2 linked regions of the Schizosaccharomyces pombe genome follow. The gene in region 1 interacts genetically with each later gene. Each region holds a gene or a part of one and is shown on either strand. Other genes may lie near its edges.

What was found.
Region 2: of prp16 (region 1) and cwf10, a mutation in one rescues a mutant of the other (synthetic rescue), as found in Schizosaccharomyces pombe (one study listed by BioGRID).

The regions. Positions count from the first base shown.
Region 1 is NC_003423.3:2,163,925-2,170,433, forward strand, and holds prp16 (ATP-dependent RNA helicase Prp16), read left to right. Parts: upstream 1-2,300; 5' UTR 2,301-2,334; coding exon 2,335-5,856; 3' UTR 5,857-6,009; downstream 6,010-6,509. Other genes in the region: pwp1 (WD repeat protein), read left to right, coding at 354-1,904; Cdc73 family RNA polymerase II accessory factor, read right to left, coding at 6,067-6,509.
Region 2 is NC_003423.3:4,050,947-4,056,720, forward strand, and holds cwf10 (GTPase Cwf10), read left to right. Parts: upstream 1-1,609; 5' UTR 1,610-1,654; coding exon 1,655-1,680; exon of another isoform or gene 1,681-1,724; coding exon 1,725-2,084; intron 2,085-2,122; coding exon 2,123-2,474; exon of another isoform or gene 2,475-2,533; coding exon 2,534-4,750; 3' UTR 4,751-5,033; downstream 5,034-5,774. Other genes in the region: SPOM_SPBC215.11C (aldo/keto reductase family protein), read right to left, coding at 1-436; protein Mtl3, read left to right, coding at 5,222-5,774. UniProt on the Schizosaccharomyces pombe protein: Component of the U5 snRNP complex required for pre-mRNA splicing. Binds GTP.

The sequences.
Region 1 (6,509 bases):
ATTTACGATGAGTAAAAATACTTGTTGACGTAAATTAAGTTAACGCATTTAGTTTATCTACATGAACGTTATGGCCTTTTGGTCGAAGAAAAATGTTTTCTTAAGTTTTGAAATCTAATTTAACGCAGGTTTACGCTAAACGGTTAAATAACGTTTTTTGTAAGACACGAATATTTTCAGTTCTTCTTTTCCCAAGTAGCGGTGCACGATTTATGCCATTATTTACTCGTATCAATACGTTGACATTTACTTAATCTTTAAATTTTTAATCTCGTTTAGATCAAGAGTGGTGTGTTTTCTGGTTTAAACATTAAAGTAAAGATTTGCGGAGTAAATATTAAGAGAGGTGCAACATGTCAATAGTCTCGTCTGTGGCTTTTGTTCCTCGCGGTTATGCATCAGAGTTTCCCAAGAGTTACGATATTGATGAGATAGAGTATGAGCGAATTAATCAGCTTTCAAAGTTAAAGCTCGAGGATGCTCGAGCTGATCTCCAATCTTCTATGGAAGACTCAAATAAAGCCAATGGGAACGGTGAAGAAACTACAGATGGAGCAGAAGGGGTGTTGCAAACAAGTGAAGAGGTAGATGATGAATTGAAAGTATACAATTTGGATACTTACGATGACGATGAGGAGGAAGCTGAGACAGAAGGGCCCGCTGCTATGTTTAGCAACATTCGTGGATTGGCTTACCATGAAAATGGAGAAAAAGATCCATATATCACTATTGATCCTCAGGAACAGGACGATTTGGAAAGAGAGGAAATGCAAATATTACCAACAGACAGCCTTTTGCTAGCTGCGCGCACAGAAGATAACTTGTCCCACGTTGAAGTGTATGTATATGAGCCAACAGAGGAAAATCTTTACGTGCATCATGATTTTCTTCTCCCTACCTTTCCTCTGTGTCTCGAATGGCTAGATTATAAGGTGGGTACGTCTGACAACGCTCCTGGAAATTACGTTGCTGTCGGCACGTTTGATCCTGAAATTGAAATATGGGATTTAGACATCATTGATGCAGTTTACCCTGCAGCCGTGTTGGGTGCAGGTGCCTCTCAAGTCAACAAGAAAAAGAAGAAGTCTAAAAAAATAAATGATAGTTATCACACAGATGCTGTTCTTGCTCTTTCTTCGAACCGAAATGCTCACAATCTTTTGGTTTCTGGTTCTGCAGATACCACACTAAAGTTGTGGGATTTGAGCACATGCAATTGTGTCAAATCTTTCACGTATCATTCTGACAAAGTTTCTTGCTTAGATTGGTATTCCAAAGCTCCATCCGTATTATTGTCAGGTAGTTATGATAAAACTGCAAAAATAGCTGACCTTCGCCTTGAAGAAGCTCCATCGAGTTTTCAAGTTACTAGCGATGTTGAAAATGTTGCCTGGGATCAACATAGCGAAAACAACTTTTTCATTGGCACTGATAATGGCATAGTTTATTATTGCGATGCTAGAAATCTCTCAAAGTCCGTTTGGCAATTGCAAGCCCATGATGGACCTATTTCTTGTCTCAGTGTTAATCCTTCGGTTCCTTCTTTTGTAGCCACAGGCTCCACTGATAGAGTGGTTAAACTCTGGAACACTTCCGATAGTTCACCGAAGATGGTTGTTTCTAGAGATTTGGATGTTGGACGTGTGTTTACTTGCTCCTTTACTACGGACGAATCAACTGCTTTCCATCTAGCTGCCTCCGGAAGCAAAGGAGTCGTTCGTGTCTGGGACACTGCAACTAATCCTGGTGTTCGAAAAGCGTTTGAAAGTAGAGTTACTGAGGAAGTTACTAAAAAAGAGCGCATCGTTCAGTTAGAAGACAGAGGTGCCGGGGAGGACTCTTCTGATGATGATGACTATGAAGATATAGAAGACGATGATGATCAAGATGCTGAGATGTCCTAATTCTCTTGATTTATTTTAAGATTATAGCTTCATGTTTTCAAAAACTCTCCTAAGAGGCCGCTTCATGGGTTTAAAGGGCTCACTAATTGTATAGAGGATTTTTTGCATAATTCAATATTTGGAAAAAAGGGATCAGGTTAGTTACAATAAATTTCATTTGATTTGGTGTATGATGGTCTTTAAACTTTAGTAAATTCATCCACATTAGTGGAGTAGCAAATGTATGCATTAAGTGTATATTGGGTTTACCGTTACTTGGTAAATTTTGCCTAACAATTCTTTTAATTCATATGACAATTTTTATTTAAACATTGAAGTACTGATAAATTGTTAATTGTCAATTACTCAGGTTCATGATTTTGCACCTTTGGGGGGCCGGAGGGTCTGAGTAAGTTCGCCTTCCGCCAGCAACCTTATTGATTTAGTAGGTATGCTTTCACATAATCAAAATGATTTGCTATTTACGAAGTTAATAGATAAATTAACTGATTATATGTCCAGTAAAGATGCAGCTACATCGCTTGCCAGTCGAGTTTTGACAATTGCCAAGGGTAGCTCGTCCAGCACCGAGTTTTCTAATGCATTACATACATTTGGACGATTTTCCGATAATGACAGCGTCCTTATTTACGATTTATGCAAATCTATAATTGGTTTAGAGACAAATTTGGGGATTTCTAAAGATAAACTTCCTGGGAATGATGGGTCTCAGGTAGCTGGATTAGTTTTGTCTAATCGTTCTGGTTTGAAAGGCCGAGAACCCAAAAAATCCCAGCTTGGATTGGATGTTCTTGCTGTTCAAAAAAAGAAAGAGAAATCTCAAGTAGAAGGGCGCTCTGAATTATCCCAAGTAGAAAATGATTCCTTGGAGTCTATAGGAAACTATGACAGGGTGGAATTTAAGAGACCTAAAAATCCACATGAAAAACATTTTCGTCCCCTTCGTCAACGGTCATCTGTTGACGATCATCAAGAGTTTGAAAGTGAAGATGATAAATATCGTAGAAATTCTTATTCTAGCTGGTCTGGAAGTAATTTCGAGTCTTCCAATGGATCTAATCGTCGGCGGTATCGAACTCAAATGGAAGAACCTTTATCCTCAAAACGCAGAAATCGGTTTGGTAATGGTTCTCGAAGAGACGTCGATAGCTCTAAATATTCGCACGATAGTGATTATTCTTATGGTGCACACAGCTCTTGGGATGCCCGCGACGTTGAGTACCCCGAAGAAGATCCCGAGAGTAAAGCTGATCGTCAACGTTGGGAAGAGGAGCAAGCTCACTTGGATCGTGATTGGTACATGAATTCCGAGTCGCAAAATTTACTTGGCGATGAAGTTCACAATCCATTCTCCGATTTTGAAACTGTCGAAGATCGTGCACATGAAGCTGAGTTTATCGAAAAGCAGAAAAAGCATTTGTCAATTGAAGCATCAGACAGATTTAAAGAAAATTCTATGTGGGAAAAAAATAGAATGATCACATCTGGTGTTTCAAAAGCTCCAGGGCTCGAATCTGATTACTCCCTTATGGAAGAGAGGCGTGTTCACTTGCTTGTCGATGAACTGCGTCCTCATTTTTTGGATGGGGCCGAATTTTCTTCTAAGAAAGTCGGTGATATTACATCGGTTCGAGATCCACAAAGCGACCTTGCAATAAATGCTAGATTAGGATCTCGTCTTGTACGTGAACGAAGAGAATTTCGGGAGCGTCAAAAAGCAGCAAGTGCTGCTACATCCCTTGCTGGTACATCTTTGGGTAACGTGATGGGTCTCAAAGATTCTAATGATGAAGATGCCAAGGCCGGTACCACACCTGTTAAAGTAGCTGGACGTTCTGAACAGTCGAATAAGAAGGATACTGAGTTCGCTCGCACGAAATCATATAGAGAACAAAGAGAGTTCCTACCTGCCTTTGCCGTGCGTGAACAGCTTCTTTCTGTTATACGTGATAACCAAGTTCTTATTGTAGTTGGTGAGACTGGTTCTGGTAAAACTACCCAATTAGCTCAATTCTTATATGAGGATGGCTATCATAGAAATGGCATGATAGGGTGTACTCAACCTCGTCGTGTCGCCGCCATGTCAGTTGCAAAAAGGGTTAGTGAGGAAATGGGTGTTCGTCTAGGTTCAACAGTTGGTTATTCAATTCGTTTCGAAGATGTTACTGGACCGGATACCGTAATTAAGTACATGACTGACGGTGTTTTACTAAGAGAATCCTTGATGCAAAATAATCTAGAAAAATATAGCGTCATTATAATGGATGAAGCACATGAGCGATCCCTTAATACAGATATTTTAATGGGTTTACTAAAAAAGGTGTTATCCAGGAGAAGAGATATCAAGTTGCTCGTTACATCCGCTACTATGAATTCCCAGAAATTCTCTGATTTTTTTGGAGGCGCCCCACAGTTTACAATTCCAGGTCGTACTTACCCGGTGGATATTATGTTTGCTAAAGCCCCTTGCTCTGATTACGTTGAAGCAGCTGTACGACAGGTATTGCAGATTCACCTCTCTCAGCCTGCAGGTGATATCTTAGTTTTTATGACAGGGCAGGAAGATATTGAAGCTACATGCGAGATCATTGCAGATAGGTTAAATCAGTTGCATGATGCACCACGCTTGTCCATTTTGCCTATCTACTCACAAATGCCTGCGGATTTACAAGCAAAAATTTTTGATTCCGCCGAGCCAGGTGTTAGAAAGGTTGTGGTCGCAACTAATATTGCGGAAACTTCGCTCACTGTGCACGGAATATCATATGTTGTAGATACTGGATATTGTAAACTGAAAATGTATAATTCTAAGTTGGGTATTGATACTCTGCAAGTTACACCTATTTCGCAAGCTAATGCGAATCAAAGAGCCGGTCGTGCTGGGCGTACTGGACCCGGTATTGCATATCGCCTTTATACCGAAATGGCTTATATTCGTGAAATGTTTGAAACGACCTTACCTGAAATTCAGCGTACCAATCTATCAAACACAGTTCTTATTTTAAAATCCCTTGGTGTTGAAGAAATTTCGGATTTTGATTTCATGGACCGTCCTCCAAATGATACGTTAATGGCATCTCTGTATGAATTATGGACTTTAGGAGCCCTCGACAATTTTGGAAAACTTACTACTTTAGGAAAGAAAATGTCGTTATTTCCAATGGATCCTTCTCTTTCAAAACTTATTATTATTGCTGAAGATTATAAATGTACTGAGGAAATTATTACGATTGTTTCCATGCTTTCAGTTCCGTCTGTATTTTATAGACCCAAGGAAAGAGCTGAAGAGAGTGACGCTGCAAGAGAAAAGTTTAATGTGCCAGAAAGTGATCATTTAATGCTACTCAATATTTATCAGCATTGGCAAAGAAATGGATATTCAAATTCATGGTGCAGTAAACATTTTTTACACTCGAAAACTCTTAAACGGGCGCGCGATATTCGTCAACAGCTGGTCGAAATTATGTCAAAGCAAAAGATTAGTTTAGAATCTGTATCCGATTGGGACATTGTTCGGAGAGTTTTGTGTTCTGCGTACTTTCATCAAGCAGCATGCGCTAAAGGTATTGGGGAGTATGTTCATTTACGAAGCGGCATGCCTTGCCATCTACATGTTACTTCGAGTCTTTATGGCTTAGGGTATCTACCTGATTATGTTATATATCACGAACTTGTACTCACTTCCAAGGAGTACATGAATATTGTCACCAGTGTTGATCCATACTGGCTAGCTGAGTTTGGTGGAGTTTACTACTCTGTGAAGGAAAGATTCCGAAATGAAACTGAAAGCTATGATCGAGTTTTTTCTAGCAAACCTCAATTGGATGCACAGATAGCCGCCGACCGAGAACTTGATGCAAAGCAAAAGCTTGCGAAGAATCAAGAACCCGTGAAATCAAAACGAAAGTCAGTGATACGTGCCAAACCTCCTAGAAGGGTTCGTGGATTTTAATGAGAACTCTGCAAAAAGGTTCCCATCTCAAAATTCTATGTAAATTATGTTATGAATAATGTGCTAGGTTTATGGTAATAAAGAAATTCAGTTATTAACATTTTTTTATTATTTTAAATTGAGAGGATTAATAAATTCATTAAGAAAGTGAAAAATAGTTTTTTAGCAGTAATTATAAAGAACGGGATTTGAAAACATTTATATACATAATTACCTTCTGCCGTTCCAAAGCGGCCATCTATTTTCCATCCAGCGTTCTAACTTATCCCACAATTGACTGACTACTTCACGATCAGTATGTCGTCGTAATCTTTCCACAAAAATGCCTTCTACATTCCAGTCATGTGTTGCAGGATGAGGAGGATCACCAACGTATTGAACCAAAAATCCTTTAACATGATGAAAAAGCTGGTGCGGTTCTGACCATTTATAATCTCTAAACTGCCAAGCTTGGCCTGTTGTAAAAACGCAAACGACGCGATCCCAATAGTCAGGTTTAAACTTTTCTGTACCTTCTACGATAATAAAACGCATTGTTCCAAATTTTGAATTCGAGCTTTTGTGGGACAGAGCAATAAGCTCAGGACCACGACCACCACCAGCTGCATGAGCGGCTTCAGCTGGAGGAACAAAAATACCTTCTTCCAAAAATT
Region 2 (5,774 bases), 1.9 Mb from region 1:
TGCGAGGAACCTTGGGATCGATGCGATGTAGTTGCCAGAGGTCAATTTGCTTAACTCCAAGTCGACGCATGCTCATAAGTACTTCTTGACGTAAAAATTTGGGTGCTCCACAAGGATGCCATTCATTTGGACCTGTACGAACAAGGCCACCCTTGGTAGCAATTATAAGTCCTTTGTAAGGGTATAAAGCTTCTCGTAAAAGATTCTCGCTGACCTCAGGGCCGTAAGAATCGGCGGTATCAATAAAGTTAATATTGAGTTCAGGCAAACGTTTTAAAGTTGCGATGCAAGCCTCTTTGTCTTTGGGTTCATCCCATATACCATCACCGGTAACTCTCATTGCTCCGAATCCCATTCTATTGACAACCATGTCGCCAACCTTGACAGTCCCAGCTTGTGAAGCATCTACGGCGGAAGAAGCTGCAGTTTTACTCATTTTTGTGTCTTTTGTCGCTTTTCTTAGAAATCAAGATCAAGTACTATAGTGGATCCGGTAAGTGTGGGATGTCAGACGCCGTTTCCTTTTATAGTAATTTTACATGGTGTATTCCTTACATAAGCTGGATTGATGCGGACTATCTTAAACCACGAAAACTGATTTATTACATACCCTATTTACAGAATCCAGTGGTATGATGTAAGAGCGCGTTAGACAATATATTGTCATAACGATGACTAATACTATTATAGTACGATATTGCTGGTTGGATTTTGAATTAGAGTAAATAGCTAAGTCCTTTTTGATTTGGCTCTTATTCAATTTAATGATAATTTTATGGTTCCAAAATCTGATGCTGGATGAATTGTCTAAACTGTATCTCTGTCTTCTTTTGCCAGCCCATTTTTATTCATGAGCAACGATGGTCGCACATAACGATAATGATCTTTATTGCTATGTTTCTTTCTATTCAAGATAATGTGGATTTATATTTTCCATCTTCTTGAATTATGCTTGATCGTGCTATCAAATCGTACTACGAGTTATCATTTGGAGACCACAAATGGGTTGACCAGTTCCGTAAATCGAGGTAAACATTGCACATAATAACAATTCTAGGACTGTATTTGAAAGGAAACACATTTTTTGAATTTAGTTGATGATGCCAGTATATTATTAGTGTTATTGACATTCAGCAATTTGTTGTGTGTTTTATAAACACACTAAATACTTTGTACAGTTGCAAAACTTGCGCTCTAAAAATGTTTGCACCGCACTTTTACAATGGCTATTTACTCTTACTATTGTCTTCGAAAAGCTTATAAATTTGGCTGCTAAACATGGGTCGGTAGCTCAAATCGTAGACATAACCAGTCTTTTAAGGTCTCAATTACACCCATGTACGACTTTTAAGGAGGAAGTTGGTAAATAAAAAAGTATATTTGGTTTTCAATAATTACGATTCATTCCTTTCTATCAAAATGAGACGATGTCGTTCTTCGGCAACCTTAAAGAGTGTAGTGGAAGTTACTGAGCCGATCATATCTCGTTTAGAGAGTATAAAGACAATGATTTCTCTAGCTCATTATCAAAGCTTAACGAGATATAAATCGCAGTTGAGACATGAATGCGCTAAAGCTCGAAAACTTGGTTACACTTTACTTCAAATTTGGTAATTACCAAAAGTTGTGCATTGTGGGTACTTGGCAGTAACTGATGATGGAAGAGGATTTATATGATGAGTAAGTGGTCTAAAAACATTTTATAGTTATTTCTAACTCGCCAGGTTTGGAAATTACATAGGCCCTGAAAATGAAGAAGATGAAGAGGAGCTGTTTCCTCAGGCTCCTAGCCCTACAATTGCACAGGTACCATCCTTTGAAGAGGTCATTCCTGATGAAGAATTAGAAGACGTTGAAAGGGCCGAGGAAATGGCGTTGAGTCATCTAGAGCCTCAGAATGCCGTTGTTCTTCACGAGGATAAACAATATTATCCTAGCGCTGAAGAGGTATATGGGTCCAACGTGGATATCATGGTTCAGGAACAGGATACTCAACCCTTAAGCCAGCCCATTATTGAGCCAATTCGTCACAAAAGGATTGCTATAGAAACAACAAACGTCCCAGATACTGTATACAAGAAAGAGTAAGTATGTGTAACAATGTCTTTTCTAACTTTTTAAGGTTCCTCTTCGGTCTCTTAACTGGGACAGATGACGTTAGATCTTTTATTGTTGCTGGCCATCTGCATCACGGCAAAAGCGCTTTATTAGATTTACTCGTTTATTATACCCATCCTGACACCAAGCCGCCAAAAAGGCGTTCACTTCGATATACCGACACTCATTATCTTGAAAGAGAACGTGTGATGTCTATAAAAAGTACTCCACTTACGCTCGCAGTTTCTGATATGAAGGGTAAGACGTTTGCATTTCAGTGCATCGATACGCCTGGTCATGTCGATTTTGTTGATGAAGTCGCTGCTCCTATGGCCATAAGTGATGGTGTTGTATTAGTCGTTGATGTTATTGAAGGTGTAAGTTATTCTGGCCTTTTCTTGCGTTTTGAAGATATAAAGATTCTAACATGCTTTAGGTGATGATTAACACCACTAGAATTATCAAACATGCGATTCTTCACGATATGCCAATTGTGCTCGTCTTGAACAAAGTTGATAGGTTAATCCTTGAGCTACGTCTCCCTCCGAATGATGCTTACCATAAACTTCGACACGTTATCGACGAAGTAAACGATAACATTTGCCAGATTAGTAAAGATTTGAAATATCGCGTTTCTCCTGAGTTAGGGAACGTTTGTTTTGCTTCATGTGATCTTGGATATTGTTTTACATTGTCTAGTTTCGCAAAACTCTATATAGATAGACATGGAGGTATCGACGTGGACTTATTTTCTAAAAGATTGTGGGGGGATATTTATTTCGATTCGAAAACCAGAAAATTTGCCAAACAGTCCTTGGATGGCTCTGGCGTTAGAAGCTTTGTCCATTTCATATTAGAACCGTTGTATAAATTACATACCCTTACTATTTCTGACGAAGCCGAAAAACTCAAAAAACACTTATCTTCTTTCCAAATTTATTTAAAACCCAAGGATTATTTATTAGATCCTAAACCACTCTTGCAACTAATTTGCGCATCGTTTTTTGGATTCCCCGTTGGTTTTGTGAATGCAGTTACTAGACATATTCCATCGCCTCGAGAAAATGCCGCTCGTAAAGCCTCTCAATCATATATTGGGCCTATAAACTCTAGTATCGGCAAGGCTATCTTAGAAATGAGTCGTGAGGAATCAGCACCATTAGTCATGCATGTTACTAAACTTTACAACACCGTCGATGCTAATAATTTTTATGCATTTGCTCGTGTATATAGTGGTCAGGTTAAAAAGGGTCAGAAAGTTAAAGTTCTTGGAGAAAATTATTCTTTAGAAGACGAAGAGGATATGGTGGTTGCTCATATTGCTGAAATATGTGTACCTTGCGCACGATATCGTCTTCACGTTGATGGAGCTGTTGCCGGCATGCTAGTTCTTTTAGGAGGTGTTGATAACTCTATTAGCAAAACAGCAACCATCGTTTCGGACAATTTGAAAGATGATCCTTACATTTTCAGGCCAATTGCTCACATGTCCGAGAGTGTTTTCAAGGTGGCTGTAGAGCCACACAATCCATCAGAATTACCAAAACTACTTGATGGCCTACGAAAAACAAACAAAAGCTACCCACTATCTATCACAAAAGTAGAAGAATCTGGGGAACATACTATTTTCGGTACTGGTGAGATGTATATGGATTGTCTACTTTATGATCTTCGGACTTTATACTCTGAAATCGAAATCAGAGTTTCCGATCCAGTTGCTCGTTTCTGTGAGACTGCGGTGGACACATCAAGTATCAAGTGTTTTTCAGATACTCCAAATAAAAAAAATCGTATCACAATGGTAGTTGAGCCATTGGAGAAAGGAATTTCTAATGACATTGAAAATGGAAAAGTTAATATCAATTGGCCTCAAAAAAGAATCAGCGAATTTTTCCAAAAGAACTACGATTGGGACTTACTAGCTTCACGTTCCATCTGGGCTTTTGGTCCCGATGATCGTGGTACGAATATATTGCGGGATGATACTCTTAGTACAGATGTTGATAAAAACGTGCTTAATAGCGTAAAAGAATACATTAAACAAGGTTTTCAATGGGGGACTAGGGAAGGTCCTCTATGTGATGAGACAATCCGAAACGTGAATTTTCGCCTGATGGATGTAGTGCTTGCACCTGAACAAATTTATCGAGGAGGTGGTCAAATTATTCCAACCGCAAGGAGAGTGTGTTATTCTTCTTTTTTAACAGCGTCTCCACGGCTAATGGAACCAGTGTATATGGTTGAAGTACATGCCCCCGCTGACAGTCTTCCTATTATTTATGATTTATTAACGCGTCGTCGTGGTCATGTCCTCCAAGATATCCCTCGGCCAGGTTCCCCATTATATTTGGTGAGAGCACTTATTCCAGTCATTGATTCTTGTGGATTTGAAACAGATTTACGAGTGCATACTCAGGGTCAAGCTATGTGTCAAATGGTATTTGATCATTGGCAGGTAGTACCTGGTGATCCACTGGATAAGTCTATCAAGCCCAAGCCATTAGAACCCGCACGTGGCTCTGATTTGGCGAGAGACTTTCTGATTAAGACAAGACGTAGAAAAGGTCTGGTGGAAGATGTTTCTACAACTCGCTATTTCGATCAAGAAATGATTGATTCTTTGAAAGAAGCAGGTGTCGTACTCTCTTTGTAATGTCGGTTTTAAGTCTTTATAATGGATTTTGCAAAAAAAAATAAATTGGGTAGATTTTAATAATAAAGTATACGATTATTTATGAAAGTTCGAGAAGTCTAACAACTTTTTTTTGCTTTCAAATCTCGCGTTTACAGTGTATGAAATCCGAAAAATCAGCGCATATCTTGAAGCCGTAAATTATTTGTGAAATCCTTGATCAGAAGGAAAAGTCGCATTTTGGTTTTACGATTTTAGTATATAGATAAATAACTTCTATTATTTATTTTTTTATGTTAAGAAACTAACACTCAACTGAAATAACGTAATTTCATAGTACTATAAACACCCGAGGTCATATGTCATGAAGTTACCCTCTCAGTATACCGGAAGACTTTAGGGACATATACAACTTCCGGAAGTGCTCTGCTTTTGGAAGTAAAATACAGCGAGTTTAGTTAGATTAGTTTATTATTATCCTTAAAACTGAAGATGGGTTTGAGACTTTTGTTTTCTCTCATTTGCGTATTTTGCATATCGAACATTTTTACGCAAGCCTTCTTGGTGCATCAAATATATGGTAATTCCAGCTTCACAAAAATATCTTTAAATCAACTTGAGGGCAGAGATTCTCAAGAGGAACTACAAAGGCGTCAGGAAATCCGATATTATGGTCGTGCCGCTGAAACTGGAGGAACTCCTACTTACTACGGGTATGCGACACCCACTAGCTCTAGTGAACCCAGTATCTTTTCTGAATCTGCTACTCCCTCAGAAACTAATTCTTACTCGTCTCCGGTCAGCTCTTATTCTGATCCCGCAACTAGTCAGCTTCCCTCGTCGACTTCTTTCTTTTCACCTACTTCTTCTGAATATACGCCTTCTAGTACGGAATCCAGTTCTCTTCTGGACCCAAGTTCTGTATCATCAGCTATTTTACCAAGCAGTACTAGTGTTGAAGTAAGTATTTCTTCATCAAGTTTGTCATCTTCTGATCCTTTGACTTCTTCAACTTTTTCCTCCTTGAGTTCAAGCACTTCTTCAA